6 linked regions of the Mus musculus genome follow. The protein of the gene in region 5 interacts with the protein of the main gene of each other region in a biochemical or structural test. Links are inferred from orthologs where the notes say so. Each region holds a gene or a part of one and is shown on either strand. Other genes may lie near its edges.

The links.
Region 1: the proteins of Raf1 (region 5) and Rasd2 form a complex in vitro, tested with the Homo sapiens proteins (2 studies listed by BioGRID). The link is inferred for Mus musculus from reciprocal best matches to the Homo sapiens genes RAF1 and RASD2.
Region 2: of the proteins of Raf1 (region 5) and Bad, one has a biochemical effect on the other in vitro, tested with the Homo sapiens proteins (2 studies listed by BioGRID). The link is inferred for Mus musculus from reciprocal best matches to the Homo sapiens genes RAF1 and BAD.
Region 3: the proteins of Raf1 (region 5) and Rheb form a complex in vitro, tested with the Homo sapiens proteins (3 studies listed by BioGRID and IntAct). The link is inferred for Mus musculus from reciprocal best matches to the Homo sapiens genes RAF1 and RHEB.
Region 4: the proteins of Raf1 (region 5) and Pebp4 form a complex in vitro, tested with the Homo sapiens proteins (2 studies listed by BioGRID). The link is inferred for Mus musculus from reciprocal best matches to the Homo sapiens genes RAF1 and PEBP4.
Region 6: the proteins of Raf1 (region 5) and Bag1 form a complex in vitro, tested with the Homo sapiens proteins (2 studies listed by BioGRID). The link is inferred for Mus musculus from reciprocal best matches to the Homo sapiens genes RAF1 and BAG1.

Annotation. Positions count from the first base shown.
Region 1 is NC_000074.6:75,212,149-75,217,565, forward strand, and holds the start of Rasd2 (GTP-binding protein Rhes), read left to right. Parts: upstream 1-1,795; 5' UTR 1,796-1,930; intron 1,931-5,417. UniProt on the Homo sapiens protein: GTPase signaling protein that binds to and hydrolyzes GTP. Regulates signaling pathways involving G-proteins-coupled receptor and heterotrimeric proteins such as GNB1, GNB2 and GNB3.
Region 2 is NC_000085.6:6,940,829-6,946,254, reverse strand, and holds the start of Bad (bcl2-associated agonist of cell death), read right to left. Parts: upstream 3,694-5,426; 5' UTR 3,631-3,693; intron 3,389-3,630; coding exon of another isoform or gene 3,381-3,388; coding exon 3,209-3,380; intron 1-3,208. Other genes in the region: integral membrane protein GPR137, read left to right, coding at 4,547-4,816, 5,041-5,163. UniProt on the Homo sapiens protein: Promotes cell death. Successfully competes for the binding to Bcl-X(L), Bcl-2 and Bcl-W, thereby affecting the level of heterodimerization of these proteins with BAX. Can reverse the death repressor activity of Bcl-X(L), but not that of Bcl-2.
Region 3 is NC_000071.6:24,839,108-24,844,447, reverse strand, and holds the start of Rheb (GTP-binding protein Rheb), read left to right. Parts: upstream 1-2,086; 5' UTR 2,087-2,211; coding exon 2,212-2,263; intron 2,264-5,340. UniProt on the Homo sapiens protein: Small GTPase that acts as an allosteric activator of the canonical mTORC1 complex, an evolutionarily conserved central nutrient sensor that stimulates anabolic reactions and macromolecule biosynthesis to promote cellular biomass generation and growth.
Region 4 is NC_000080.6:69,849,795-69,854,558, forward strand, and holds part of Pebp4 (phosphatidylethanolamine-binding protein 4 isoform a precursor), read left to right. Parts: intron 1-1,833; coding exon 1,834-1,960; coding exon of another isoform or gene 1,961-2,002; exon of another isoform or gene 2,003-2,166; intron 2,167-4,764. UniProt on the Homo sapiens protein: Promotes AKT phosphorylation, suggesting a possible role in the PI3K-AKT signaling pathway.
Region 5 is NC_000072.6:115,617,457-115,622,004, reverse strand, and holds the end of Raf1 (RAF proto-oncogene serine/threonine-protein kinase), read left to right. Parts: intron 1-142; coding exon 143-189; intron 190-321; exon of another isoform or gene 322-1,677; coding exon 1,678-1,796; exon of another isoform or gene 1,797-2,088; coding exon 2,089-2,220; exon of another isoform or gene 2,221-2,311; coding exon 2,312-2,446; exon of another isoform or gene 2,447-2,595; coding exon 2,596-2,739; 3' UTR 2,740-3,436; downstream 3,437-4,548. Other genes in the region: Mkrn2 (probable E3 ubiquitin-protein ligase makorin-2), read right to left, coding at 4,274-4,411. UniProt on the Homo sapiens protein: Serine/threonine-protein kinase that acts as a regulatory link between the membrane-associated Ras GTPases and the MAPK/ERK cascade, and this critical regulatory link functions as a switch determining cell fate decisions including proliferation, differentiation, apoptosis, survival and oncogenic transformation.
Region 6 is NC_000070.6:40,937,752-40,942,515, forward strand, and holds part of Bag1 (BAG family molecular chaperone regulator 1), read right to left. Parts: intron 3,888-4,764; coding exon 3,774-3,887; intron 1,434-3,773; coding exon 1,326-1,433; intron 1-1,325. UniProt on the Homo sapiens protein: Co-chaperone for HSP70 and HSC70 chaperone proteins. Acts as a nucleotide-exchange factor (NEF) promoting the release of ADP from the HSP70 and HSC70 proteins thereby triggering client/substrate protein release.

The sequences.
Region 1 (5,417 bases), on a different chromosome or scaffold from region 5:
CCAAGCATGGACCAGAGACTTCCACAACTGGTCCAGGGAGGAACATTTGGGTGGTGAGCGACAGAACTGGAGCACAGAGCTCTCACCCAGGCTTTCCTGCCTATGACACACACAGCTCCCAGAGAAGGCTGTCCCACAAAGGAGACATTCCCTATGCGCAGGACCAGGAATTGAAGGGAACACAGCACCTACTTCTTTCTGGTCCACCTAAAGGAGTCCGTAGAAAAATGTCTGCTTTGGGCGAAAGAACTTCCACCCCTTCCAAGCCTCGCCCGCACATCTCCCTGGATAAAGGCAGGCTCCAGCTGCAGTTCAGAGGCCTTGCTTTGTTTTCGGGCTTGTTTTATACTAACCTTCTATTTATGGCCTGGGACACAGGCTTCCCATGTAAGGCAATGACATTAATGAGACTGAAAAATGTGTTGGGGGTAGCGGGTCTTGGATTAAAGAAAACATTAAGAAATATGTGGCCCGTGGAAGCAAGAACGCCTGATGTCTGGCTTGGTTCAAAGCGCTCCCTAGGATAGCACGCTCTGGCTCTGTCAGGGACGGGAAGACTAGGTCCCACCAAGCCAGAGGAGGTCTCTCCATAGAGTTCACTCTGAGCTGCTTCCATTACCCAAGGTGATTCAGGGCCCCTCGTGGCTGCACGTGTGCCGCCCATGTGCTCCGCAGGCCAAGCGTTCGCAATGGAAGCCGCGGCCTGGACCGGGCTCCCGGCGAACGTAGGTGGGCATCGGAGGGGGTGGAGGTTCGCTCAGGGCGAGGTTGGGAGGTCAGGAGCGGGTTCCCACAGTTTGGGCTGGCTTGCGGGCGAGTGCGTGCTCAGTGTCAGCCTCCCAGGCCCGTGCCTTACGGTCTTCCGGTCACGGTGCGCGTGGCCGAAGCCTCGGGATAGCCCTCCTCCCCCGCGGCCCCAGCCCCACGCGCCCGGGCACGCGTAGCCGCAGATTGCCGCGGCTCCTAGACTGGGGTGGGGCGGAGGCGGGACCTGGCCGCGGGACCCGCCGCTGATTGGCTGCTCATGGCGGGGGCGGGGTGCAGGCGGCAGAGCCCAGGCGGCGGCGCTGGGCAGGTGGGCTCGGGACGTAGCGCGCGCCAGGGCCCGAGGTAGGCGTAGGTTGCGCATCTGGAGCCCGAGCTTGAGCCACCGGGAGAGCACGAGGGAGGAACCCACCCTAAGAAACTTCTCCTCGCTTGGGGAGAGGAGGCACAGTGCGGAGCGACGTGGGCTTCAGGCGAAGTTGGAGCTGCTGAGCTTCGGGGCGGCGTTCGAGGCCCCCTCCCACTTGCGCGCTGAGCGCAGCTAGCGGCGTCGGGCGAGGAGCAAGCGGCGGTCCTTTCCGCGAGGGTCGGCTGCCCGACTGAGGGCAGCCGGGAAGGACGGCCCGGCGCACAAACCCCTCTACCCTGCACGCGGCCACCCGCTTTGCGTCCAGAGAAGGAGGTAACGTAAGCTGCCAGGCGGGTTCGTAGGCCGATCGTCACCCCCAAAAGTCCTCCTGAGTCTCCGGGGTTCGCTTCTATATCCCCGGAGTCGTGCCCCTTCCCCTTCAGCGCGGAGCTCCAGGCGGGGGCACCCCGTACTGGACGTCCCCAAACCTTCGAGCACCTGGCTCAACCGGAGTCCCCCCTGTCGGGGCAGGGCAGGGCCGCCGGCGGCGAGCCGGAGCCAGCCCAGCGCCCCAGCCCCGCCGAGCCCTCGGAGCCCACCCATGGGTCATCATCCCCTGATCCGCGGGCCTCCTCGCCCTGTCGCGCTCAGCCCAGCTCCGGGCGCCGCGCGCAGGAGGATCCGTACGCAGTGACCCTGGAGCCCCCGCAGACGCCGGGAGACTCAGCGGTCGGAGCGGCAGGCGGCTCCCCGCACCTCCAGGAGCTTCCAGGGAGCCCTCCAAGCCGTGCTCGGGGTCCGTCCCGCTGTTCTCAGGTAAGGGAGACATCCCAATAGAACAGGAGAGGTAGCTAGGTGGAGTGGGGCAGCCGGCTCAGTAGAGGGACGCAAGCTCGGTGACGCTGGCATTTTATGACAAAGGAAACTTAAACTGTACCCTCTACGTGCTGAGATGCTTTATACACGTAGAGCATTAAGCTCACTAGATGCCTAGCCTACTACCTCTGGTGGTCTTTAGCCCCTTACATAGCGTAGGAAAGTGGATTTATTGAGCTCTTGTGTGCTCCGTTTGTCCCTGGGAGCTTTCTTTTAGACCAAGAGACAGTCCACTTTAAAAGGAGGAAACTGAGACTCAAGAGGAAGAGGCAGTTACCCTCCCTAGATAAAACCTCAAGCAAGAATGATCAGGGGTCCTTTAACCTATCCTAGCGTCCCTTGAGCTTTGGAGCATTTCCTGCAATGTTTCCTTGCTACCATGGTTTCCTGAACTCAAGTGGCCAGTGTGTGGGGCCTCTGAGCCACACTCTCTTGCCCACCTCTGCCACCAGTCCACGAAGGATGAGGAAGGGTATTGGATTGTCCTGGACCTCCTGGAAGCTAGACTAGGGTCTGGAGCAACGACCGGCTTTGGACTCTCTGATTCAGGTTCCTCCTAAGCCTCAGAGGGACAAAAAAGAGTCCCTGCAAGTCGTCCACGGGGCTGGGAGCAGCCGGGTGGCTCATGACTACTCAGAGAGACTGCCCAAAGAAAAGAGTCTTGTATTGGAAAGGTTTCTGGGTACCTGACCGTGTTGCGTTTGTTTCTACCCAACGTTTAACAGAGAGGTGAGCTGAGTGCACAAACCAGATCACTCAGAGGTTCTGTGCTGACACAGCTGATCATCCAGAAACAGATGCCCCCTGTTCTCTGCCCTCCTGACATCCCCAGGATGGGAAGGGTGGCTTTGTAAAGCTCCTGAGACTCCCCAGAGCCTAGGGGAGGAGTCAGGACTACAGCGTGTCAGTCCTAAGAGGCTTGGGATGTGCACACAGGTGTGGCAGGTAGTGTAGTGAACCTGGCTCTGGGGTGCACCCAAGGAACTCATCCTGACCAATCTGTACCTGTTCAGCTCCCATCAAGCACTGGGGCAGACACAAGGGTGAATGGCCCACAGTTGCACTGCTTGTGAGCTGCTGGCAGGGTATGCAGAGTCCTGGGCAGGATGCCACCCCAGCTGCCTAGAGGGAGAGAGGAAACAGGACTATAACATGGATCACAGAGTCATTCCCTGTCCAGTGCCAACTGGGGCTCCACTGAGTCAGAGCTATTAGGAGAAGACTAGTTGAAGCCACTAGAGGGGTGGGAGTGGTGTTTTGAAGAGGTGAGATTGGACTCGGGCAGCCACTCAACTTTCCTGAGAACTAGAGTCCCCATCTGTTCCTGCAGAGCGTCTCATAAGAATAAGGCAGCCCCAGCATGACATGCCTAGGGATGATGGGCACTATTTCTGGGGACAGCCCCACTTCTATCTTTGAGGTACCTTCCAGCACTCTGCTTACATCCAGGTCCCTCTTCATACATTCAGTTCCCCACTTCTCTCTAGACCACCAAGGTTGGCTGCTGGGAAGGAGGGCCTGCCCCATGCTGTCTGTCCTGCACTCTGGGGGGCCACCTCCCACCATACACATGCTTTTCTGTCCAGGTCACTGTGGCTGTGTCAGCCGCCCACTGGCAGTTCTTACATGTGGTGGAGGTCTGGTCCTAAAACCCTGATGTCCCCACTGAATGCATACCTGTGAGTCTGTGCTTTGGGGTTGCACTGCTGTGCATACAGAAGGTACTCAATAACTGATCCCTGACATGAGAGACATTGCAGATGCTTCTGCAGGCTTCAGGCTTATTCAACCCTTTCATTCCCCTGCCCCAAACCCCACTCTGGCATTTAGGATTTGTCTTTGCCCACTGTGGAGTTAGCCAGCTGAGGAGCAGAGTGAGATGGGCAGGTGGCAGGGGAGACTCTGCCTACAGGGCTTTAGGGCTTCCCTCAGTCTCCTGTGGAGGTGGAGCCACAGATGCTCTGTCACCTGGCTTCCAGGTATCTGGGTGCCTCACACTGCCCCACGTGGCTGAAGCCATGTGAAAAGACTAGGTCTGTCAGCAGAGAAAGCCATAGGTTCTCCTCGCCTGTCTCCACCCCTCTCTGATCCTCCGGCTCTTATTTCTAACTCCATGCCGCACCCCCTCCCTCCGTGAGTCTTCTGTTTTCTCTCTTCCTTCATTCCTGTCTCTCCCTTCCTCCTCTCTCTGATTCCCTGCTGCCCTCTGACTCTGCCTTGTTTCTCTGACTCTCTCCTTTCATTCATTGTGTCTTGGGAGGCCTGGCTAGAAGCTGGGACAAGGAGACATCCCTGGGGTCTGCTGGCTCACTCCTTGTCTTCCATCTAATGAGAGGCTCAGCAGCCCTCCTCCCTGCAGAAGGACTGGGTGGGCGAAACTAAGCCATAGGTCTCCGGTGGTTTCTTCTCAGCACAGCAGCAGGAGCCAGACAGGTAGACTGGGTGAAGGGAGAAGTCCTCATAGCCAGAGCAGGTTGAGAGCAGGCTAGTGAGAAGTTTGGGTGAGCCTGATGCCTGCAGAAGTATCTGCAATGTCTCTCATGTCAGGGATCAGTTATTGAGCACCTTCTGTATGCACAGCAGTGCAACCTCAAAGCACAGACTCACAGGTCAGTTCAGTGGGGGACATCAGGGTTTTAGGACCGGAACTCCACCACATGTAAGAACTGCCAGTGGGCGGCTGACATAGCCACAGTGACCTGGATAGAAAAGCATGTGTATGGTGGGAGGTGGCCCCCAGAGTGCAGGACAGACAGCATGGGACAGGCCCTTCTTCCTGGGACCTTGGCGACTCTGTGCTTCAGTGCCCTCATTGTCTGCCCCCTGGGTCACTGAGGGATGGAGCAGATGTATGCCTGGCACTCAGAGCCCCGTGATATATATTAGCTGCAAAACAAATGTCAGCAGTGTTGTTGTTCTATACTTAGCGTGTGCTTGGCACGCTGCTGGGCTTGGCCCAGGAATGATGGTTCCGGTGCCAGGCCTGGGGTCCACAGTGTGCTGAGCTGGCCCATGCGTGTGTCTCTGACGTCCATTTTTGGAGGCCATGTTTCAGGCTGGGAGCTGGGAGCGTTTACATTGTGGAAATTGACAAAGGCTACCAAACAGGGCTTTTAGGAAAGGTGAAGGGTGTCAGGCTGGCAGGCATGAGCAGAGTCTGTGCATACCTAGAGACTTGCAAACAGGAGGATGTCACTCAGCCCGAGAGGCCATCTCAGACCCTGGTCTCATGGTAGGTCTGATAATGATAAAAAAAAAATGGCTGAGGTATCCAGATGAGGCTGTGGTCTCAGTGAGTACAGTACCTTTGTGCAACAGAGCTTAAACCCATAGGATTCATGAAGACACTCTTTGTGGTGGGATGAAGCCCCTATTTGCCTACTAAAGGTGTGGTTTGTGCAGTGTCCAGCCTACACAACTTGTAGTG
Region 2 (5,426 bases), on a different chromosome or scaffold from region 5:
GCCAGCACCGGCTGCTTCTCCCATCTTATGGCCTCCCCACTCTCTTCCTACTGTGCAGTCCCTGTGTGCTGCAGTTCCTGCCCTATGGATGCCCACAGCCCAGTGGACCTTGGTGCAGATAGTCAGGAGAGGTAGGACTAGGGTGAGCTGACTGTGCACACAGAGATGGCACACAGAGAAGGTCCATAGCTCTGGCAGGTCTGACACTTGCAGATCTCACTTGTGTTGCTTTTGCTTTGCTGAGACAGGGTCTAAGTAGCCTAAGCCATCCCCAAACTCATCTGTGCTTGGTGCTAAGTTTATCGGCATATACTACCATACCCAGTTCTGCATTTGAGACCACTGAAAAGTAAATCAAATGTTTATGAATTCCATCACCACCTGCCACACACACACACACACCCCACACACTGGCCCAGGGAGTGTCTGTCTCTGCCTAGCATGGGATGGGAGGGAAGCAAAGAGGACACACGTTCAGCTACCTTCCCTCCCCATGGCTGTTTGCCCTGGTCGTCTTCATTCACAGCAGCTCTCCTTCATGGAGCTGGGGTACACCTCTGCTCCTCCCAGCAGCAGGCCCTGCTTCTACTGCGCTCCCTAAAGCTGTTTGCAAAGCTGTCAGTGTCCCTCCCCCACTTCAAACCTCAGGCTTGCCCTTCCTCCTATGAGTGTCCCCACCTTTCCTTCCAGTCTCTCATCCCAGACCCTGTCACTTTGTCCTAGCATGATGCCAGCCAATTGTCACCTCCTTCCTGTTGAAGCACCGAGTAGATGTAATACTCAAGGCAGCTCCTCTTTTGGGGGCTAGACCAGCACACCCCTCAACCACAAGACAGAAGCCAGGTTCCTCAGTTCCATGTTGCTGGGACAGCTCTAAAGAGGGGGCTTCTAGCCTGGGGTTGTCTGGACAAGGCCGGGCCCTTCACTCTGCAGACTGGAGTACTGTGACGAAGCAGTGCGGGACCCCAGCCAGGCCCCACCTGTGGACGTGCACCAGCCGCCTGCCTTCCTCCACAAGCTGCTGCAGCTAAGTGGGGTCTGCCTATACTTTGAGGAGCTGCCCTCCCAGGCAGACCCACCACAGCCACCTCTGCAGATCGCAGCTGCACGTGGAGCTCATGGTGAGGCTGAAGCAGAACAAGGCCTTCCCAGGCCCCAAGGTGAGTCCCAGCCATGGGGAACTTGATCCGTGGGGCTGGAAAGACAGCTCAGGGGTTCAGAGCACTGGCTGTTCTTTCAGAGGTCCTGAGTTCAATTCCCAGCAACCACATGGTGGCTCACAACCCTGTATAATGGAATCTGATGCCCTCTTCTGGTGTGTCTGAAGACAGCCACAATGTTCTCACATTAAGTAAACAAGTTAATTAATTAACTAATTAATTAACTTTTTTAAAAAAGGAAAGAAAAAGAAATCTGGAGATATGCCCAGCAGTGGTGGTGTACATCTTTAATCCCAGCACTTGAGAGGCAGAGGCGGATCTCTTGAGTTTGAGGCCATCCTGGTTGAGCACAGTAATCCAGGACAGCTAAGGCTATACAGAGAAACCCTGTCCTGAAAAACCAAAAATTAATAATAATAAAAACTAATAAAAAAGGAATAAGAAAGCTGAAGGTTAAAAGAAGGGATGGGGGGAGGGGACTGGAAAAATGGCTCAGTGGTTCAGAGCATTTATTGCTCTTGCACAGGATGTGAGTTCAGTTCCCAGCAACCACCTGTAACTCCAGCTTTTTTTTTTTTTTTTAAAGATTTATTTATATGTAAGTACACTTTAGCTGTCTTCAGACACTCCAGAAGAGGGAGTCAGATCTCGTTACGGATGGTTGTGAGCCATGTGGTTGCTGGGATTTGAACTCTGGACCTTCGGAAGAACAGTCGGGTGCTCTTACCCACTGAGCCATCTCACCAGCCCCCTGTAACCCCAGCTCTAGGGGATCCAACACCCTCTTCTGGACTCCAAGCCTGCACTTGCACATGTGCATTTTACACGGGCATACATATACAAATAATTTAAAAAAGGAAGTGGAGTGCCAGGCATGGTGACCTGTGATCCTAGTACTTGGTAGGTAGAGGCTGGAGGATCAGGAGTTCAAGGCTAGTCTCAGCTGTATAGAAGTTTGAGACAGTCCAGGGATACATGAGGGGGTAGGGATAAGTTAAGTTCTATGGAGCCAGTGACAAACCTGGTTGAGCTCAGATTTCTCTGGCTATACAGGGTCAGCAATGGGAAGTGGGGAGTATAACCAGTATCTCCAAGGCCTCTCCTTCCATCTTGGCACTCACTCACACTTTCCAGCTTCACACGGCTCTTGTTTGTCACTTAGGGTCACCTGCCTGTCCCATCTGGGCAAGAATAGTCGGGCTGAAGGCGAGCCATAGAGTAAGAAAGAACCTACTGAGCTGGGCGGCGGTGGTGCACGCCTTTGATCCCAGCACTTGGGAGGCAGAGACATGAGGATTTCTGAGTTCAAGGCCAGCCTGGTAGTAAATGCTCTGAACCACTGAGCCATTTTTCCAGTCCCCTCCCCCATCCCTTCTTTTAACCTTCAGCTTTCTTCTTCCTTTTTTATTAGTTTTTATTATTATTATTTATTTATTGGTTTTTCTGTAGGAGTGAGTTCCAAGATAGCCAGAGCTACACAGAGAAACCCTGTCTTGAAAAACCAAAAAATAATCATTTTAAAAAAAGAAAGAAAGAAAGAAAGAAAGAAAGAACGAACGAACGAACGGACCTACTGGCCACTTCTTGGGCTGGAGAGATGGCTCAGTGGTTAAGAGCACTGACTCCTCTTCCAGAGGTACTGAGTTCAATTCCCAGCAACCACATGGTGGCTCACAACCATCTGTAATGGGATCTGATGCCCTCTTCTGAAGACAGCTACAGTGTACTCACATACAATAAATAAATGAATAAATAAATAAATAAAGAGAAAAGTCACTTCTTTGGGGCTCTGCTTACCTCCCACTGATCTTGGGGACATAATAAGGGGGTCTGTTTTCAGCATTCAGTGAGTCAGCTTAATCATTAAGGGCATACCATACATCTCTGTGAATTAGCCCAGTGATGGTTTGTAGAAGAAGCAATCTGATGAAAGGAGCTATCTGGGGCTTCCCAAGAATCTTTAGGAAGTATGGCTGCAACAGCAACGTAAGGGGCACCTGAGAGTCAGGGGGCATGGGACAGGCAGATAATGGTAGTGAGGAACCTACCTCCATGATGACTGTTGGTGGCTGCCCGTCCCTGCTGATGAATGTTGCTCCCCAGGAGACCTGGGGCCAGGTAGGGACCTGGCTGGTCCTCAGTGAGGCTAGGGCCCAGGCCCCTATCTGTAGCACTAGCGTCTTCCTGCTCACTCGGCTCAAACTCTGGGATCTGGAACATACTCTGGGCTGTAGAGACAAGGTAAGAAGTACTCACTACACAGCTAGGCAAACAGTGTTTATGAGAAGCAGAGGAGAGGTACTCCTGTCTCCCTCTCCCACCACGGTAGCTCAACTCCCCAAATCTTCCCAATCCCTCATTTGTCTGCTCAGTCTGCCTGGCTGTCGCCCGAATATTAAATCTCTCTTCAGAGCTCTGTCCAGACACTAGTGCGCTCCCCCTGCCCGTTAGGACCGGGAATAGGTCTCACCCCAAGCCCGATCTCGAGGCCCCTGACCCGGGCCTGCCTCCTCCCTCCAGTTCTAAGGGCGCCCGGCCCTAGTTTCCTGGGCGACGAGAACTGTCACAGATCTGACCCAATCAGTTTTCGAAGTAAATCCCGGGTCGGCCTGGAGGCGGGGCCACCCCAAGCCAGGTCCCACCCCTGCGCCGACCTGCTGGTCTCCACCGCCTTCCTCCCGCGTCGCTCCCCAGGCTCCGGATTCCGGGATCGGACTTCCTCAAGCCTAGGGCGTGTGCAGGAGCCAGCGAGGGCTGCTTTGGGGTTCCCATTTGGATCCTGGAGGCCTGCTTCGGCTGATAAGTCCTCCAGCCCTTCTGGGCCCGAATTCCCTCCTGTAAAATGGGGTTAATGACACCTCCCTGGGGAGCTGGTGAAAACTCTGTAAACAGCTTAGTGATTACTTATAGAGCCGTTCACTGAAGCTCGGCCGTCGGATGCAATGGTCGTTGCGATGGTTATTGCTCCCCCTGGACCGAGTGACCGGGATGGGAAGACCAGCTCCTTCTTCCCGATCGTGGAGGCCTTGCACTGCCCGTCTTGGGGACAACCCCCCGCGCCATTTCGGGAGCTCCTTTACGGCAGGATGGCCGCCCGGGTGCGGAAGAAGGGACGGGGCGCCCAGGAAGGCGAGCCGTGGGGCTCCAGGGGCCTCTGCTGCCAGGATAGGTGTGCGTACGCTGCCCCGGGCCGGAGCGCGGGGCCTGCAGACAGAAGCTAGGGGGCGGGGTCCGGGTACCATCTTGGTTGTGGGCGGAAGTTTCCTTCAGTGACCCTGTGCGGGGAAGTCGTTGCCGCCCCCCATATGGGCACGCCGAACGCGATGTGGATTTGGGAATCTAAGCGTGGGAAATGGTAGTCCCCAAACATTAAGAGCTGGCGGTCCATGGCACTGGTAGCCCAGGTGCTTGCTGCGTGCGGCCTGCTCTACTCTCGGCCGCCCGCCGCCATCCGTAACCCGGGACACCCGCCGGCAGCGCACCTTGCGGCGATTCTCGAAGAGATGCACGCCGGGCGCGGCGCATGGCTTCGGAGTCCCTGCCGGTCGCTACGCAGTTTACGTAGCGAACGGACGTCCGCGCAGGCGCAGGAGTGGGGCGGAGCAGAGGGAGCCGGGGAGCTGGAGCCCGGTGTCCCGGCGACCGGATCCCGCTTACCCCGCAGCGGCCTGAGACCTGACATCGACTTCCTCTTATTCACCGGGGCTGAGGGTGGACGCGGTGGGGGAACACGTCTGGAATCTTGAGGACAGAGGAAGAAGCCTCCCAATCCGGATTATTGGAGGGGAAAGAGGAACCAAGCTTGGGGAGGGGGAGAGCGGGGCGTTGGGCGCCCCCGCAGCGGCCGCTGTCCTAAGCTGACGGGCATCGGCCGGCTCTCCCCCTCCTGCCAGCCGGACACGAGCAACCAAGGCCAGGGACTCTGTGCCACTGCATCCTCGCATCTTGGCTCTGGGGCTGGCCCAGGGAGGGACACCCCCAACCCCCATTTCATTTGCCCTGGGTAGGAAAGACCACTTTATACACTCCAGAGTGACGGGTCTAGGGCCCAGGGCCCAGGTTACCCGTGCCCACCCCCACCCCCACCCCCACGCCCGACTCTGCTGAGAAGGAAAGGCCTGACAACCTCAACTTCTTTTTTCCAGAGTTTCCAGGTCTCACCACCTATTGCAGGTCCCACCCCTCCGTATTTATTTCCCTGGCTTCTGGCCAGCCCTCTATCTCTGTCTCCGGGTTTCAGGCCTCCCTCCTTGACATGGAGAGTAA
Region 3 (5,340 bases), on a different chromosome or scaffold from region 5:
TAAATTCTCCAATCTGACATCTAAGAACTTTAAGTCAGCAACTAGAACATTTTTGAACTTTATAACTACTTCTCTGATTACTAATATTCCTAGCCTAAAGCAATATTGTTAAACTTTTTGAAAGAACTCAAAGAGGGATATTTTTGAGTAGATATCAGAACACGATACAAAGACACCCAACAGGAATATAGATTTCAATTATGCATAGCATGTTGTTTGTATCCTGTTCTATTTAGTAGTAGTAGTAGTAATAGTAGTAGTAGTAGCAGCAGCAGCAGCAGCAGCAGCAGTAATAGTGTGCAGATGTGTTCATAAACTAGAACGGATATAGAGGCCAAAGAACAACCACGAGTCAGTTCTTTTTCCACTTTGGTATACACTGATCAAAGTCAGGTTGTGAGGTTTGTGTAGCAAGTGGTTTTACTGGTTGATGCAACTTGCTGAACCTCCCACCCCACTGCAAGGTAACCTTATGCTAGCTACATTACCACGGACTAAAGTGCTACGAGCTCAAGAACACTGGTGGATTGGGGCATCTGCTGAATATACGTTTAACCTGAGTCTGTTTTAAAATACTTAAGATAGTTCAAAGGGGAAGGCAGTTATGGCTCAGTTCTCTGAGAACTTGAGTTCATCTTGGGTCCAATCCCAAGCACCGAATAAACATGGTTTGGAAGTCGGTAATCCTAGCATTTGGACAGAGAAAAGAGAATTGAAAGATCAAGGTAGCAGAACAGCACTTAATCCCAGCACCTCGGAGGCAGTGACAGGTGGATCTCTAAGAATTCCAGGCCAGCCTGGACTACGTGAGACCCTATAAAAATAAGTCTATTGTGAAGGGCAAAAAATTAAGGACAAGTGTGCTGTTCTCTCTTGGCACCTTTATTTCCAGGCCTAGCCTTTAGTTTGGACTTCGATGAACTAGGCCTAGGGTCTAGCTTTCCACCCTGTTCTTCAATATGAGGATATCTCAACTCCTCTAGTTCTCTGGAAACAAGAGCTTTCTGCCTGTACGACTGTTGTAGAAAATATGACAGCCTTCCCTTTTCAGGCATGGCCCGCCCACACCAGACAGCTAAGCCTCCTCCTTTTCCTCGGCGTTTTTGACAATGGCTGACTTTCACGTTTCTCCAGAAATAACCTCTCGAGTGTTCAGTATGAAAAGACGCACTGATCTGGCTGCAGGACTCCCACGCGCGCGCCTGTCTGTGCGAGGTGCGTGCCACCCGGCGTGTTGCCCGAGTCGGCACCAGGACTGGTCAGCTCGCGCTGCTTTTAATGGAATTTCTGACATTTGCGAGCTGCACAGATTTCATTCTTCCCACAGTTCCTCAGCCACGAATAAAGCTTAGTCACCACCCACGTTAAGCCCAGACTAAAGCTAACATAGCAGGACGGTAATTTGAAGTATAGACAAGTGCGAAGCGAGGTGTCAGCCAACCTACAGTCCGTCAGCTAGGGCCACGCGCCTCGCTCCTTTTAAGGGCCGGCAGGCGCAAGTCGGCCAACGGCTCAGCACTTCACCAATCACCGTGCTTCACGCCTCTGGTTCCGCCCCCGCACCCACATTAGCCAATCACTGAGGAGTTGCCTGCCCGCCCGCCCACCCGCCGGTAGGGCCACGCTTTTGGACCACGCAGGCGCCCCGCCGAGCAAAAGCAGACAGAATTTATTTTTAGCTCCCCGCTGAGCGGCACCTCTCCTTGGCTCCACCCTTCCAATCCCCAATAGAAGACGGAGTTTCCATTGCGTCATCGCGCGGCAGTCTGGGAGCCGTCCAGTCAGAGCTCGGGCAGGATTGTCGTAATTAAAAAGCGGCGGAAGTAGGTGGGAGGGTCATGACGCAGCGAGTTTCGGTCGTGACTTTTCCGGGGGCTTTGGGGCGTCTCCGCTTTTTCCCTTTAAAGTAAAACGTTTCCCCGACGCTCCCCCGCGCGTTCCGGGCTGGGAGGCGGCGGCGGGAGGCGGCGCAGACGGGGCCGCGCGCGGTCACGTGGGTGTGTTGTTGGGGGAGGGCCCGCGCGTTCGGTTCCGGGCGGTTGAGCGAGCTAGAGAAGGAGCGAGCGAGCGAGCGAGCGAGAGGCAGCCGCGCCCGCCGCCGTGCTCTGTATGCCGCGTTCTCCCGGCGCAGCCGCCGCCGATAGTCTGAGCCGGAGGAGCCGCCGCCGCCGCGGTTAATGTGGTTGGGTCGGGGCTGAGCAGGCCACCAAGATGCCTCAGTCCAAGTCCCGGAAGATCGCCATCCTGGGCTACCGGTCTGTGGGTGAGTGGCGGCCCGGGCGATGTCGGGGCTGAGCCCCAGGACGCGGACGCGCCTGCGAAGTTTGTGGCGGCGCGGCCATGTGGCGGGCGGGCGGGCGGCGCGCGTTTCATAACCTCCATTTTGAGTGGAGGCGGCGGCGCCTTCCCCTGTCCCCAGGCGCGGCGGACAGGTGGCGGGGCGGCAGGCCGAGGCGGCCGCGTCCTTCCCTCGGCGTAGGAGCCGCGGGCCACTGCCCGGGAGTCTTGCGGCCCGGAGCAGCCTAGTCGGATCCCCGCATCTGTCCCGCCTTCTCTAAGCACGGTCTGTCCCCACCCGTTTCCCCAATCCCACAAGCCCCGGGCATTTCAACAAAGGAAACCTCTCCTTGTGACCTTTCCATCTGCAAAGAAGTTAAGCCTTTTAAAGAAAACAGGGAAACTTCAAGACGTTTGGCTACCAAGTTTTCCGCCTCCAAGAAACCTAGACTGGACCCCTCACAGGCCAGCTAGGTAGCATCTGGCAGCCAGCACAGGGAAGAGGAGAAAGACGTCTCTAATGTGTCCTATTTTTCTTTTCCCCTTTGAGGAGAAACAAGGCCAGGCACTTGGAACCAGGCTGTTAAAGTAATTCAAAAGCCCGTTTGTTTTCCTAACACCACCACCAAGCGATTGACATACATTTAAAGTTGTTCCTAGTAATCACCTTTTTGCCGAATAGAGGTGGTCCTGGGTGGGGTGGGGAGGGAACGCGGTGTCCAGACAGTAGTATTCAGTCCATCGTGTGATACAGGACATTTGAACTTAACCACGCTGCAGGGTGAGGCTTTATTGTTTTTGACCGACCGGAACAGGGGACTGTCACGTTCATCTTTAGTGCTGTTTGAAAGATGTAACTGTCTCCAGAAAATGTGCGTTTGACAGGGACCACTGAGGAGTGGAGAGTCTGGCAGTAGAACACCTTCCCCACTGGATGGGCTCCTGCTAGGCGGTTCATTCTGCGTTCTCACCCTGCTTTCCACTGCTGGTGCCCGGCTCTGTGCTCTTTGACCAAGATCAGTCAGGGCCTGCTTACTTTTCACCTTCTCTCCTCAAGAACTGGAGAAACTCCTTAGGAAGGGAATGGAAGATCGGAGACAGTGTGACAGATGGGAGTGCCTAGAGTGGAAAGGTGACACGTGCATAGTGCAGTGCTGAGGTGTTCATAGTAGGAAAGAGTAGGTGACTGCTTTAACAATTGCAACCCTAGAGTTAACAGGCACAAAATTACGGTGAATCCATTCACACCAAGATAGAACTCCTGATGTAACCAGTGTTGGTTGTCTGAGTCACCATACTGTTTTCTGAATTCCCTCCAAATTTGGAGAATGAGACCATGATGTAACTTGGCTGTTGATTGAGTACCCTCTAATCAGATAACTAATTGAAGATAGTAATCTTGAATGCAAGGCATAAATAAGTCACAAGTATCAGGGTTACCTGTTTTCAATGCAAGAGAATATTCTACCAGTCTGGATTTTATTGTAATTTTTGAAATGGCAATGGGTTTAAATAAGTGTAGTGTTATGTCTCCTTTGCTAAGAACTTCTGTCAATAGAAAACCATCCTGATTTTTTTAGGCAAGGTCTTATGTAACCCGGGTAGTCCTCGACTCACTGTATAGCCTAGACTGGTTTTCCTGGGAAAGCCCCACTAGAGCCAGGATAGATGTGTCTGGCTACTCCTATCCTTCTCACAAACATTCACTCTGGGCTGCTGGTTGTAAGTGTAGTGCTAGCCCGGGGAGGAACACAGGATTGTAGACCTGTATGCAATGCCCTTGGTGTGTTGCAGCCTGTATTCTCTATACTTGTTTTCAAGTGTAATGCCTAAAGTAAGATACTACATTATTGCTAATGTTGCATTTAACTTTAGTTTGCTTTCATATGAAGGACATATTTTCTAGTTTCTGGATTCTTTGTAGAGGAGTAGTTGGTCTTTTCAGCATGTACTAGCCACTCTTCTGGGAATTGACCACTTATTAGAACTTAGAGATGTGTGTGGTGGCAGACTATAGAAATTTCACTGTTTCTAGATGTGGTGTGGTGGGGATTGGCAGCCATGTCCTTTTTTACTGTTTTCTTGCGTAAATGCTGTTTTCTGTTCTGACTAGACTGCTGGGCATTGTTACTTGATGATGCCACAGACTTTTAAGTTTGCCTTCAGCAAAAACTGAAATGTAATTTTTTTTTTCATTATTAGGCTTTCAAGTCAGTAAAATTTCCTTCTGCAGTATTTTCCTGATACTTGCAGTAGGGAAGTTTTATGGACATGTCACCTGTAATTCAGTCTGGCTTTTATGGAGGTCCTTTTTGTTAATTTTGGTGGTGGCCATATGTAGCAGTTTCCTCATGGTGCGTTGTTGTTACTACAGCTGAGTCCTTAGTGAGGACTCCTCCAGTCAAAACTGTCAAAAAAGTAAACTGTCTTGCGTCTGGTAGTCTCTCTGGAATATCTTCCAGAGTGTTGGTAATCTAGTTTGTCATTAGATCATCTTTCCAAAAGCTTATTTGTTGTGTGTATTCCTTGTATTGCTAAGAGGGACGAGATCACAGGGATGTGGAAGTTTATAAAATGAAATGGTTGTGGTTTGGTGAGTGGCAGTTCAGCAAGAGTAGATGAGTCAGCCGGGCATGGTGGTGCACACCTTTAATCCCAGCACTTGGGAGGCAGAGGCAAGTGGATTTCTGAGTTCGAGGACAGCCAGGGCTACACAGAGAAACCCTGTCTCGAAAAAGAGTAGATGAGTTAGACCTTGTCAGAACACAGCTGATGCTGTTGGATTCTTCCTAGGGAAAGGTTGGTACCTGACGTGATTGACTGTTCCCCGTAGAATATAATCACAATGGATTCTGACCCATTCAATTATCTGTCCCCGTAGAACATAATCACATTGGATTCTGAACCAATCAATTATCTGTCCTTTTCTAACATAATTTGTTTGAGAAATGTGGTGAGGGATAGGATGATAGCTTAGTGAGTAGGGTACTTTCTGTTTAACTGTGAGGACCTGAGTTCCAGTCCCCAGAACCCATGTGAAGTTGTACAAGACAGTGTGGTGGT
Region 4 (4,764 bases), on a different chromosome or scaffold from region 5:
AGAGGCAAGCTTATCTCTGTGAGTTTGAGGCTAGCCTGGTCTACAGAGTGAATTCCAAGACAGCCAGGACTACACAGAGAAACCCGGTTTCAAAACCAAAAAAACCCAAACAAAACAAAACAAACAAACAAACAAAAAACCCCCAAAACAAAACAAACAAACAAAATAAAAAAAGAAAGAAAAATCTATTCCCAAAGATGTCTTCGAAACTGCCCAAACTTTGTCACCCCAAAAGAGTGTTGCACACGTGCAAAAAGTTAAGAGAAACAACTAATACTCCTGCAGTGTTGATTTGGACAATTCATACTGCTCCTTCCACTCTCTGGAAGGACAGAGACCAAGTCTAGGTGGTGGGGGTGCCCACCCACCAAAGCACACCATGTGTGGTTTACCAGCTGCTCTGGACCCAACTGCCTCTCTCCAAATTTGATCCTGGAGCTACTGAAAGCACTGAGGAGCAGGGGCTGGAAAAAGGCCATGTGGGTCTCGCTAGGAGGCTACCCTTGGCCTCCTCTCAACTCCTACAGGAACACTCCTGAAGATATGATCCTCAAATTACATTCTCCCTGGGTGTCCTTCAGGTATAACGCCAGCAGGGCATGGTGGTGTAAATAGCCATTGTCTATTTAGGGGCTAGCTCAGCTGTGTTGGGGTACCGGGAAAGGCTGGGAAACACAAGCCCTGGTCTCTGTGTAATAAGAATATTCTGACAAGCTCAGGCACGGTGTCCTCATAGGCCCAATTCAGTCAATTTTCTACTCCATTGGCAGGTTCCACATCTGTGGGTTCAGCCAGTCCTGAGTTGGAAATGTTTGGGCCAAGGGACCACCTCTGAATCAGGCCCACTCACACGTTTCGTAAGCCAAACACTTAGAAGGTACACTGTCACAATTGCACAGCTCAACCCACACAGCTTCCTATATCAGCAGGTATATGAACACAAGAGACCAAGAGCAGCCTGGGCTGTATAGGAAGTCCCTGTCTCAAAAAGAAAAAAGGAAAAAAAAAATGGCAGAGAATATGGGAGTGTAGCTCAGTGATAGAGTGCTTTCCCAGTATGTACAAGACTCTGGGTACCACACATGTGTATATGCATATACACATGCATACATAGGGATATGTATGCACATACACATGCATACACATAAACACATATACACATGTATAGACACATATGTAGATATACACCCAAGTACACACATAGTATATGTGTACTTGTATATGTGTATATATTTATGTATGTGCATACAATTGCACATATACACACACACTATATATATGCATACACTTGCACACACACATTGCTTCAGTATTGGGCAAGTACAGCTCTTTGTTTACACTTCCTAAAGGGTACTACCACACAGCAATTTTGCTGTATGCATCATAAACACTACAGAAATGAGCTGACTACACAGAAAGACATGTGTGTGTGTGTGTGTGTGTGTGTGTGTGTGTGTGTGTGTGTGTGTGTGTGAATGCAGACATCATACCACTTTCTTGAGGGATTCACACATCTGAGAGTGAGTCGATCTTTGGCATACTAAGGATGACAACTCATAGCATGCTAGGCTTTGCTCTACCCACTGACCAGTGCTGTGTCCTCACACCAACCACATGAGGTAGACACTGTCCCTGTCTCAGGCAAGTAGACCCTGGGACAAAAGCATCGGGTCTCAGTCCCACAGCTCTGGGGTCACACAGCTGGTTGGTTGTCAGGTTTAGAATTTAACTCCTCTCAACTCTGCATGCTCAGTGGTGCTGGACTGCAGTAGCCTTGTGAACCCCGGGATTCGCTGAAACCCTGACATGACGTGACTGCCCCTCTCTCCGTAGGAACCTAGAAGTTTTCTACATGGAGATGGGGAACATCAGCTGTAAAATTGTTCCTAAGTGCAATCTATACAGACAGAAGATCACGGCCTGGCAGGCGCCGATAGTCAAGTTCCACACGGCTTTGGATGTGAGTGAACTGGGTTGGCTGAAGGAGAACGTGGGGCCCTGACTTGCCTTTAGTTCACTTTTCTTGGGAACTTGGAGGGCCAGGTTTGCAGGAGTCAGGCAGCTATTGCCTGGAGTGGTGGTCAACCTCCCTAATCCTAATCCTTTATATAGTTCCTCATGTGGTGGTGACTCCCAACCATAAAATTACTTTTTGTTGCTACTTCATAACTGTAATCTTTACTATAGCTATGAATCATAATGTAAACATCGGATATGCAGATGGTCTTAGGTGACCCCCGTGAAAAGGTCATTTGACAAGCCCCCAAAGGGGACGTGACCCACAGGTTGAGAACCACTGGCTTGGAGGTTGTGTCTTTCCTACGGTGGACTCATGGCTGAAAGCTCTGGATTCTTGAAGTATGCAATGTGTCCTTCTGGTGTTTGAAATCATCTAAAACAGGACACCAGAGTCTTTTGGGAACTGTGACTACTTCTTTTCCTGGAAAATAACTTTGATACCTGTTCTGGAAACTTCCTTGGGCTCGAAGGTTCAGAAAGCTTAGGGACAGACCATGCAAACGGGAAAGAGGGGAAGTTTCCGATTTCATCCTTCTGGTTGTTGTTTTCCTCTTGTTGTCTCCTGGCCCAGACAGAGCCCACAAGGCATCAGTGGCTGAGGCTGGGGTACCAGTGTCCAGAAATGACATGGCAAGTCACAAGTGTGGGTAGACAGAAGGTGCTGACCCTTCTGTGCAATAGGGCAGGAAGGGACTACAGGGTTCTTTCTCCTCCCCAGTGCGGCCCCAGAGGCCCCGTGCCACCCACCCTGATCAGGCAGATCAGACCTGGCAAAACAGGTAGCCAGGGAAGCAGCATCACCAGGGTTGCTCATGAGGGTGGGTCTGGCTTGTCTGTCTCCCTCCAAGTGCTTTCACTACTGGAGATCAAATGTGACGCCTCCCAGTTGATGCGGCTGATATACAAAGCTGTGCTGGCTTACCTGGGGTACAACTGTGACACTACACACCTTTCCAGTGGGCAGTCTTCCCTCCAGGACACTGAGCAGCAATACCCCCTCCCCCACTCTCCCTCCTCGCTGAAGACCTCAGCCAATGTCATGCCTAGGAACAGAGTCAAGAGGAACAGAGAAAGGACAGCTACTGCTGCTACACTGGGCAAGACTCCAGCCCCACCCCACTCCCACCCCGGCCCAACGTATTCTATGGAAACCCAGCATAGCCCTGTAGGGTGAGACCTTTGTCTTCACCAAAATTTATTAGTTCATCAATCCCTGGGGAGTCGCCAGCTCTGTGTTGCTATTGCTGCAGGGGCCCACTAGGTGGAGCTGTAGACTGCCAAGTTCCTGACCTCCCCTGGAGGGAGGAACTGGAGACCAGTTCTGAGTCTGGTTTCACTGAGTTTACACTGATGTCCTGGAGCATGCATGCAGAAGAGAGAAGTGTGTGTGTGTGTGTGGGGGGGGGGAGGGGTCTGCCTCGTCCAGAAATCTATTGTCTCAGCCTGCAGGTGAAGGGTAGAAGTGAGAGAAAAGAGGCTTAACGCTACCAAGGAGAATCAAGACTCACCAAGGAAGGTTTGGTGGAAGCAGAGGGCAGAAAGAAATAGGAGTTTTGTGCTAGCACAGATCTAATGCTTTCTGAAAAATGTAAGACTCAGGGGAAGGTAAAGCCAGGGGTACTGAGAAGCTTGCACTGTGTGGCACTTGATGCTGGGCCCTATTTATGCTGTGGGTCCATTCAATTCTGTCATCAGACCTGTGAACAAAGCATTTGCTTTTGTAAAGGGGTTAGTGGTAAGTACCAGGATCCTTGCTGGATGGTGTTGCTAGTGCCCAGACCAAACAATGGCTTCCATTCTCTCTGCTAGATCCCCAATGGAATGTCAGGAGCTGCTTGTGAGAAGAAGCAGGGAGAGGGGCTGCGGTCCGGGGGTGGGGTGGGGTGGGGGGGAAGCAAGGGTTGTTCTGATGTGTGTAAAGACCTAGCGGTGCTGAGCTGGGTGGTGGCAGTGCTAGGCTCAACACTAGAACCCTGGGCTCTGGAGGCCAATCACTCCCAAGGGCTCTGAGGGGGATTTGAGGGAGGGGATGCTGAAAGCAAGCTCCTCTGGTGAAGACGGAAAGGAGGGTGGGGAGGACAGAGGGACTGTCCTTAAAGAAGGTGGCAGTCTGCCGGAGCTCCCTTGAAGAGTTTCAGGGAAGAGGCAGCTGTAGCGGAACAGGTGGAGGCAGAGAGGAAGAGGTGCCATATTGGAACAAGGTACCTAGAAAGCCAGGCGTGGGTAAGAAGGGCTCGATTCTTCAGCTAGAGGAGGAAGTTATTGCCTCAGAGTCCCCAGGGTTGATGGGAAATGGTAAGAGTTGGCACACGGCTTAGCGGAAATACCACCTCATTTCCAAATTTAAGTGACCAGCGTTGCTCAACTGTCAGGGGACTTGCCCACCCCCCACCCTGCCAAGCAAGCCCTGAAGCCTTGGCAGAAGTATGGGGCAGGCCTCTGTTGCCCCATCTCGGGGGTGGGGTGGGGTGGGGGTGGGGAGTACCTGCCTTTCCATACCACTGCACAGGCTTCTCCCATCTTTGAGCTTTGCTTCCACCTCCAGGAAGCCTTCCCTGACTACTGGCTCTGAACTTTACTTTCCATTCTTGCTGATGTCTTGCTCCAAGCTCTCTAAGTATCCCTGATGTCATCAACAGAGCATTTGCACTCCTTCTGTCGCTCATTCATATCTTGTAGCACAGCGACCACCTTGTAAACACTGAATCGCTTGCGGTCCCCCATTGGCACGGCAGACCCCTGTGC
Region 5 (4,548 bases):
CTTGGATAGGCAGAATGTGAGGTGAAATGCCTGGCTTGGTTTGCAGAGCAAATCCAAGTTTCAATATGCAGAGCACAGTGCTACCCACCAGTTAGCTGAAGGGCAGTGAGGTGGTTAACTGAGTGATTTTTCTCCTTCACAGCTATTTGCATGCAAAGAACATCATCCACAGAGACATGAAATCCAACAGTATCCTTTGGTATTGAGTTCTCAGCTTAAGGACCCAAAAGGGCCTTTTTGCACACATGGTTCATGGTGCCAGAATGGGGAGAAGGGGACTTTTAAAGGAAAATAGAAATATAGTTGAGAAGCCAAACATGGTGATCATGAGAGTTCCTTAAGGTTTTATTATTATTTTTTTTAACCAACAGTGATCTGGAAATAATTCCTTCTGAGGCGATACACACTTGAAATAGACTTGAACTCAGCCTGGTTAGATTATCCAGAATATAGCTTGAGAAGGTTATTGCATCTATTTCTATTGAGCCTATGGAAGGTGTAAGCCTGCATACAGATGGGAAAGTATCTGATGCATGTATCTAATACCAACAAGTCATAAGTGATTGCTGCCTCCTGCTCACTTTTCAGACCAGCATAATGTCAGCCATATAGTAGACCAATGTGATATTTTGTAGAAGAGACATGAACAAGATCCCTTCAAACTAAGTTATGACACAAGGCTGGAGAGTTAAAGGTTTACTGTTGATCTTTCTAATCAAAAGCAATTGCTTCTGGTGGTCCTTATGGACAGATACCAAAGAAAAAGGCATTTGCTAGGTCAGTAGCTACACATCGTATATCAGGAAGTATGCTAATTGCTCAAGTAAGGACACCACATCTGGTATAGCCTGTCACTTTTTACAGTCCATCTGTCTTCTGTACTGGCCATGAATCACCACCCCTGCATCTTTCAAGTCTTTGATGGTAGCACTGATTGCTGCAATTCTGCCAGGGATGTGACACTTTTGGTTCCCATCCCTGGCAGAGACCCTGCTAAAGGCTTCCATTTAGCTTTTCCCAGGGGAAACAGTTTGAAGGCCCACTGTAACTATTGTGAGTCAGACTTCAACCAAAATTCCACTAATCACCTGACCTCCTATTTTTAACTCAAAGGACACAATATTTCTTAAGGTCTCCTGGAATTAGCATCTTAGAACCAGTATCCCAGAATTCCAGAAATTTCAAAATGGCTACTTTCTGTTAAATGTACAGAAGTCAGCCTAGAGGCCACTGTTAGAAATAGCATCTCCTTACCAACTGCACCTTTCATGCTGTAAGATGGCACATGGCAGGGTGGTTAAACTCAGCTGTTCTGCATGGCCAATGAGCTATGCTTATTCGGTGGCCATGACCTCCTTTCTTGAGGTCATTCTTTTTCGGCAGCTAAGCACTGGGCCAAGATTTAAGGCTTGAATTCCAATAAATCAGCAGGTCACAAATCAGACCAAAATTGCCTGTTACCTAGCAGTAAGCTGACAGAAGTCACAATGTAGACCAGTTGGGTGGTAAACCTGAGTACCAAATGTAGGCAGAGGGGATAAGCAGTGTGGGGCCCTGTAATTGAGTGTGCGCATGCCATCGTTCCCTGTCTCCTGAAAGATTTAGTAGTGAAGTGAAGGAGGCCAGAAGCACTGTTATAAACAGTATAAACTGTCAGTCTCCTTAACAAGCATCGAGATATATTTCTCCATGAAGGCCTCACGGTGAAAATTGGAGATTTTGGTTTGGCAACAGTGAAGTCACGCTGGAGTGGTTCTCAGCAGGTTGAACAGCCCACTGGCTCTGTGCTGTGGATGGTGAGGAAGCTGGCCCCACACAACATGATGGAATTACTGGGCCAGAGTAGGGTGCAAAATTTGACAGCATTTCTGCACAGCCATGGGGGTCTGGTTGATCTGTGGTGTCAGTTAGCTTAAGGCAAAACCGCATATCCTGGCAAAGCAACAGAGGCCAGCGCCTGTGGGGTTTTGTGGGAGGAGCTACCCTGGGCTAAGGACTTGAACTTCCTTCCTGACTAGTTAAAATAGCCTGGTTCCTCAATGTCTCTGGAGGTCATTCCCTAGGGATTAACACACTTCATCCTTACAGGCCCCAGAAGTAATCCGGATGCAGGATGACAACCCGTTCAGCTTCCAGTCCGACGTGTACTCGTACGGCATCGTGCTGTACGAGCTGATGGCTGGGGAGCTTCCCTACGCCCACATCAACAACCGAGACCAGGTGATCTGCATGGCCGGGCGACACAGTGAGGGGCTACTTAGTCCTGGGACTCTCCTTCACAGACTCCTTTGTTCAACTGTTTCTTCTTTAGATCATCTTCATGGTAGGCCGTGGGTATGCATCCCCTGATCTCAGCAGGCTCTACAAGAACTGCCCCAAGGCAATGAAGAGGTTGGTGGCTGACTGTGTGAAGAAAGTCAAAGAAGAGAGACCTTTGTTTCCCCAGGTTAGAGAGCTCAGTTGAAATATAACATTCTAAGGATGTAAATGTGGGCCAGGATTGGGTCGGTGGAGAGAGGACCTCCACAAGCTCTTGGTATGGTTGGGGAGATACCAAGTTTCCAACTAATGAGACCACGTGGGGCCTTGTTTCAGATCCTGTCTTCCATCGAGCTGCTTCAGCACTCTCTGCCGAAAATCAACAGGAGCGCCTCTGAGCCTTCCCTGCATCGGGCAGCTCACACTGAGGACATCAATGCTTGCACGCTGACTACATCCCCAAGGCTACCAGTCTTCTAGCTGATGATGTAGCTGTTCTTAGGCCACCAGGGGACGAAGAAGAGTCAGCAGGCACCACTTTCTGTTTCCTTGGGGGCAGAATGCATGTTTTTGGAAAAGCTGCTGCTGCTAAGGACCTAGACTACTCACAGGGCCTTAACTTCATATTGCCTTCTTTTCTACCCCTCCTGCCCTGGAAATGGAAGCTGTCCACCAAGAAAGCCTGCTCAGCTCCAGAGGTATACAAGTCAGCTGAGTATTTGTAGGGCAAGTGGCCTTGGAGAAGGTAGGGCACTCCGGCTGCTGCAGGGACATGCAATTGGGAACTTGGCTCCTTGAGCCTATATGGACAGTGGTGCAGTGCCAGTTTTGCACATGGAGTCCTGGCCACCTGGGGGAGCCTGCTTTGGTACTACAGAACTTTGTGGACAAACTGTGTCTAAGGTGTCCTGTGTGGATGGCTTTCCAAGCGCGGTGCTCCACCTTTGGCAGCCTCCCACGTGCTGAATCTGTCTTCCAGGAGCTGCCCCTATGGGGTGGGCCGCGGCCCAACCCTATCTGTAGCCACATCCTTGTCTGTAAGAAAGCCAGGAATACAGGTTTTCTTAATGATTTTGGGTTTTAATTTTGTTTTTATTGAGCCAATACAGTTGGTTCCTTATGTTATTTTAATAAAATAAATTAAATTTAGGTTTAATGGCTACTGACTCCTTCAAAACTTGCAGTGCAGTTTCTTGTGCAGACAGAACTCAAGGAGCCCCCTCTGCAGTTCATGAACAACCAAGTGAAAAGCACACAGGTAATAACAGGTTTTCTTATAAAAATAAATTCAGGTTCAGGACAAATTTGCTCTTTCTTGCCCCCAGTTCTTAGACAGAGGAGTGACTGCTCCTGTTTACCACAAAAACAAGTGTGGAGCCTACTACTTTATAGGGGAGAACAAGCAATCTGTGAGTCCTGTGTCTTGTGCTCTTAGTACAAGGGGAGGGTAAGATGGAGTCTCCCTGGAGATCTTCACAACTGCACACACCTGTGACTTGAGACACTGGAAGGAACTCAATAGCCACCCTCACAGCTGTAAAAGTCTACACTATGGTACAGCAGCACCAATATGGCCAAATGTGTTCTCACTACACAGCTGCATCAATTCCAAGGCTCGACAACTCTATTAGAGATGATCACTGCAGAGGAGCCTTCTACAGGGCTGGCGATGTCTTGGCAAGGAAAAAAAAAAAAAACCAGATCTGCTGCAAGTTTACTGTTGCTTAAGGAAGAAAGTCACAAAAGAAAGATGGCAGTCAGGTTTCATTTAAAAGCACTCAATTAAAACAGCTGGACCACATAGCTGGTCCCGGAGAAAGGGGTTGGAGGTACAACTGAGAGCTCAACTCTAAATGTAGTGATTCTGTGGACGTGGTGATCTCCCTTCCCTTCCCAGGGGGACTCACTACTGCACTCACATCCCAGTACCACGTCACCTCGGGTCGGTGACAGATGCGTCCACACCGTGCCTTGGAAAGTTGACTGCAGAGCCAAATGAAGGCGTCAGCACTGACTAGGGTTCTGATGATTCTACTCCAGAAAGGTGCATGAAGAGGTCTCCTAGCTCTGTCACATCCACATCGTCAGTGCTGGGGACTTGCCGGGTTTCTCGGTTCTCGATAAAATCCCAAAGCCGAACTGAGTTAAAGAACTGCAAAAACAGCCAACAAGCACCCCTGGGTCAATGGAGATAGCAGCAGACGATGAGTGCCAGCTTGTATTTTGCTTATGCTGACTCCTGTTCTGCTGCCAAAGCTACTAGGAGCCTGGGCAGTAAGCACCCAGGAA
Region 6 (4,764 bases), on a different chromosome or scaffold from region 5:
ATTTGGGTCAGTGAGTCAACAGCCTCCCAAGATCTGGGTGTAGTTGAAGTCTGTAGGAAAAACTAGCTCAGCTGCAACACCAGCCACTTGAGCCTTAAGAAAACAAAGGCACTCGCACACACACACACACACACACACACACACACACACACACACACACATGCTCTTGTCATACTGGTGGGCTGTAAATGCCTACAGATCAGAAAGTCCACATATACACCCAGAGCCTAGCATGCTACCTGTTTCTTCCCTGTCGTTGTGATAAAACACTATCGATTAGGGGAGGAAGGGGCTTATCTGGCTTACACTTGCAGGTCACAGCCCATGATCACTGAAGCCCGAACAGAAACATGAAGCAGAGGCCTTGGAGGAGCACTGCTGCTCACTCGGGCTCACGCTGAGCTTTCTTCATTTTAAGGCTTATTTATTTATTTGGATTTTTGAGACAGGGTTTCTCTGTATAGCCCAGGCTGTCCTGGAACTCACTCTGTAGACCAGGCTGGCCTCAGAAATCAGCCTGCCTCTGCCTCCCGAGTGCTGAGATTAAAGGCGTGTGCCACCACACCCGGCGGAAGGCTTATTTATTTTATGGGTGTTTTGCCTGCATGTATATCTATACCACACGCCTGCCTGGGACTTGAGGAGGCCTGAAGAGGACACTGGATCCCCTGGAACTCGGCTTAGAGAGGGTTGCAAGGTACTGTAGATTCTGGGAATCAAATCCAAGTTCTCTGGAAGAGCAACTGGTACTTGTAACCACTGAACCATTTCCCTGGCTCCAAGCTGGCTTTCTTATACAGCCCAGGACCACCTGCCTGGGGCAGATGCAGCTCATAATGGACTCTATCAATTACCAAACCCATCTTGCCCCAGTGTGCCTATAGGTCACGCTCATCTGGGTAATCCCTCAGCTGAGACGTATTTCTTAGGTGCCTCTAGGCTGTGTTAAGATGACAGTTAAAGCTAACTAAGACACACAGTACCTGGCCCATAACAGTAGATGTTTGACATCCCCGAGCAACAGATTTTCCCAGGTAACACAAGTGTAATACTGACAGAACGAAATAGACTGAAATACTGCCACTAAAGAGAAGTACCTCTGGGGTTAGAGAGGTGGCTCAGTGGTTAAGAGCACTGATCGCTCTTCCAGAGGTCCTAAGTTCAATTCCCAGCAACCACATAGTGGCTCACAGCCATCTGTAATGGGGTCTGGTGCTCTCTTCTGGCCTGCAGGCATACATGCAGGCAGAACGCTGTATATATAAATAAATAAAACGTTAAAAGTAAATAAAAAGGCTAGTACCTCTATATGAATGTTTACTTACCATTGTGTCAATCTCCTCCAAGATCTTCATGAATTGCTCAATTGTTGCTTTTACTTTCCTATCAAGTTTGCAGAGAGCCTCCGCTTGCAATTCCTTAGCCAGAAAACCCTGAGAAGGAATAAGGCACTATTGCAAGTGTTTGAGACTCATGGAAAACCATGCCAATAGACTGGTGAAGCAACCCAGAGTTCACCACTGATCTAAGAAGCCCGGCTAGATCTCAGACCTTCATCCCCTGGGAAAATTAGAAATGCTTGCCTTGGCCAGACTAAGAATACTACCAGGGTGTGGACTGTTCTTTCTCTCACAGTCCACTGAGGCATGAATGCCCCCTGAGGAACTATGGTGCAGCCTTCAACACAGGTGCATACATGCACATAAGAAGCAGACATTAAGAGAACAGACTGAAAAGCTGGGCACAGTGCATCAAGGGTTGGCGTGAGGTGTCTTTGCCAAACACTGTGTGGTGGTTTGAATAAAAATGGCCCCCATATATTTGTATGCTTGGTCACTAGGGAGTAGTGCTACTTGACAAGGATTAGGAGGTGTGGCCTTGTGGGAGGAAATGTGTCACTGGGGGTGGGCTTTGGGGTTTTAAAAGCCCAAGCCAGGCCCAGTGTCTCTCTCTAAGTGTTGCCTGTGGATTGAAATGAAGAATTCTCAGCTACCTCTCCAGCACAAAGTCTGCCTGCATGCCACCATGCTTCCTGCCATGATGATAATGGACTAATTAAACCTCTGAACTTTAAGCCAGCCACAAATAAACGCTTTCTTCTTTTAAGAGTTGCTGTGGTCACGGCGCCTCTTCACTGACTAAGACTCTGCCTTATTTTTTGAGACAGGGTCTTTTACTGAATCTGGAGCTTGCCCAATTTGGCTAGACTGTTTGGGCAGTGAGCAGCTGGGATCCAGCCCTCTTCTCTTTGCCTCCCCCACACTGGGATTATACAGTGTGCCATCATGCCCAGTTTCTGCATGGATGCTGGGAATCTGAACCCAGGTCCTGATGCTGTGTGGCAAGCACTTTATCAGCTAAGCTACATTCCCAACTTTGGCTTAAGATCTTAAAGCAAGTTCCTTAAACTTGCCACGTCTCACTGATCTCAGATTATGGGATGCTGACCGGCAGATGTGTAGATGCTCACATAACTCATGGCACAGATAGATACACAAGATAACAGAGGATGGCGGTATTATTGTGGCTTTGGTTTTGAGACAGGATCTCTAACTCACTGCATAGTCAATGCTGCCCTTAAACTGATCCCGTCTCTTGCTCTGAGAAAAGCTGTGATTACGGTGTACAAGCCCACACCTGGTTGAGGTAGCACTTACTGTCATTAAACCACCCTGCTGTTCATTTGCATTTCTTTGCCTAGTGATCAGTTAGCGGGTGGCTGAGTTGAAAAGCAGGAATTTCTGAAGATGGCTATCAAACCAGAGTGACAAAGGCATATTTGTAAACACACAGCAAGAAGTTCGAACATTACTCAGAAATCCAAACTCAGTTCTATCAAAGACAATCACAACTACTCAAAAAGGACTCCTGTCTAAGGGCACTCAAAGCAGCAGCACAGTAAGAGAAAAAAATCAGGTAAAACAGAGAACAGAGACTAAGGTAGGTAAACCATGATATATTCACATGCAGGAAAATATGACCATTTTCAACAACACAGGAAAATGTTAATTTTTAGCCAGTAAAAGAACAATTTACCAAATGTATAGCATATTATATTTTAACTAAATAAGGTGAAAAATACTTTTCAGAGTAATAGCATCTCTGGGTCAGACATACAGACCTGCACACAAGAAGCACAGTAAGAGCCGGGCGTGGTGGTGCACGCCTTTAATCCCAGCACTTGGGAGGCAGAGGCAGGCGGATTTCTGAGTTCAAGGCCAGCCTGGTCTACAGAGTGAGTTCCAGGACAGCCAGGGCTACACAGAGAAACCCTGTCTTGAAAAACCAAAAAAACAAAAAAACAAAAACCAAACAAACAAAAACCAAAAAAACGAACAAACAAACAAAACAACAACAACAACAAAAGCAGCACAGTGAGAGCAGAGCTGAGCTTAGGACGTGAAAGGCCTCGGCTTGAATCTATCTATACGCACATATAAAACTTTTGTGTAAGCATCACAAACTAATTTTATAATTACAACACAAAACAGGACTGGAGAGATGGCTCGGAGATTAAGAAGGTGTACTGTTCTACTAGCCGACCTGCGTTCTGCTCCCAGCATCTAGAGGCTCACCACCTCACATCACCCCAGCTCTGGGGGGTGTGGGGGGTGTCTTCCTGGCCACCAGCACTCACATCCACCTACTCCAACACAGACCCAGGCAGACTCACACATAATTAATATATAATTTAAAAATGAAATAAATTATTTTTTAAAAAGCCAACCAGGCAACAATACCATACCACTCTATCCACAGAATAGAGAAGTCACCTGCTGGATGCCAGAAAGCTCTTTATTCAATTCTTGCAGGTGGTTAGCTATCTTCTCTGCAGATACCTCCAAATCTTTCAGCTTCTTTAACTCAACCTCTTCTTCTGGATTGCTCTAACATAAAGAATAAAACGAGGTCAGTAATTGCTCACCTAAAACAACTGAGCCAACCTCTTGTGCTTCTTGGAAAGCAAGTCAAAGGGTTAGACAACAGGATTCCTATCCATAAAGCCCAGCCCAGGGAGAAGGAAGGCCAAGCGAGCATCCTAGTGAGACTCCTGAGGACTCATGCTCAGAGAATGGAGCTAATCCAAGTGTCAGCCTCAGCCTCAGCCCGGTGCTGACCCCAACCCCAGCAGCTAGATTAGAATGTAGCAAGGACCAGAGGAAACTCACTGCTCTTCCACAGGACCTGGGTTCAGCTTCCGGCACCCACACAGTGGCTTGCAATGTTTTGTAACTTCAGTTCAAGCATATCCTGTCCTTCTATGGCCTCCCGGGGCATCAGGCAAGCACACGGTGCACTCATACCAACACAGGCAGCATCCCAGTATACCCCAAATAGGATAAATACATCTTTAAAAAAGTACAGTGTAACCAGGTTCAAGTGAACACCACGAAGGCATCCAGAATGAGAAGACAGACAGAATTCTATCCCACAGCTTCCTAAATGTTGAGATCACAGATAATGTGCTACCACACCCAGCAGCATGACATTTGTTTTTCCAGAGAGGCAGAGTCTCAAATAGCACAGGGTGCCCACAAGCTTACTATGTAATGGGAGGACGATCCTGAATTCCTGATCCAGCTGCCTCTATCTTCCCCAGGCTTGGCTCATGACTAAATTCTTTTAAATGGAAATGTCACCCTCCAGCTGAATTCTACTCTTTAACAGGATAGCGATGACGGCAACACTCTTCCTGAACGCTCCTTGTATGCCAGGTACTGTGCTTGCACGTTACCTGTGTTACTTCTCTTTTAAGCTAAGAGG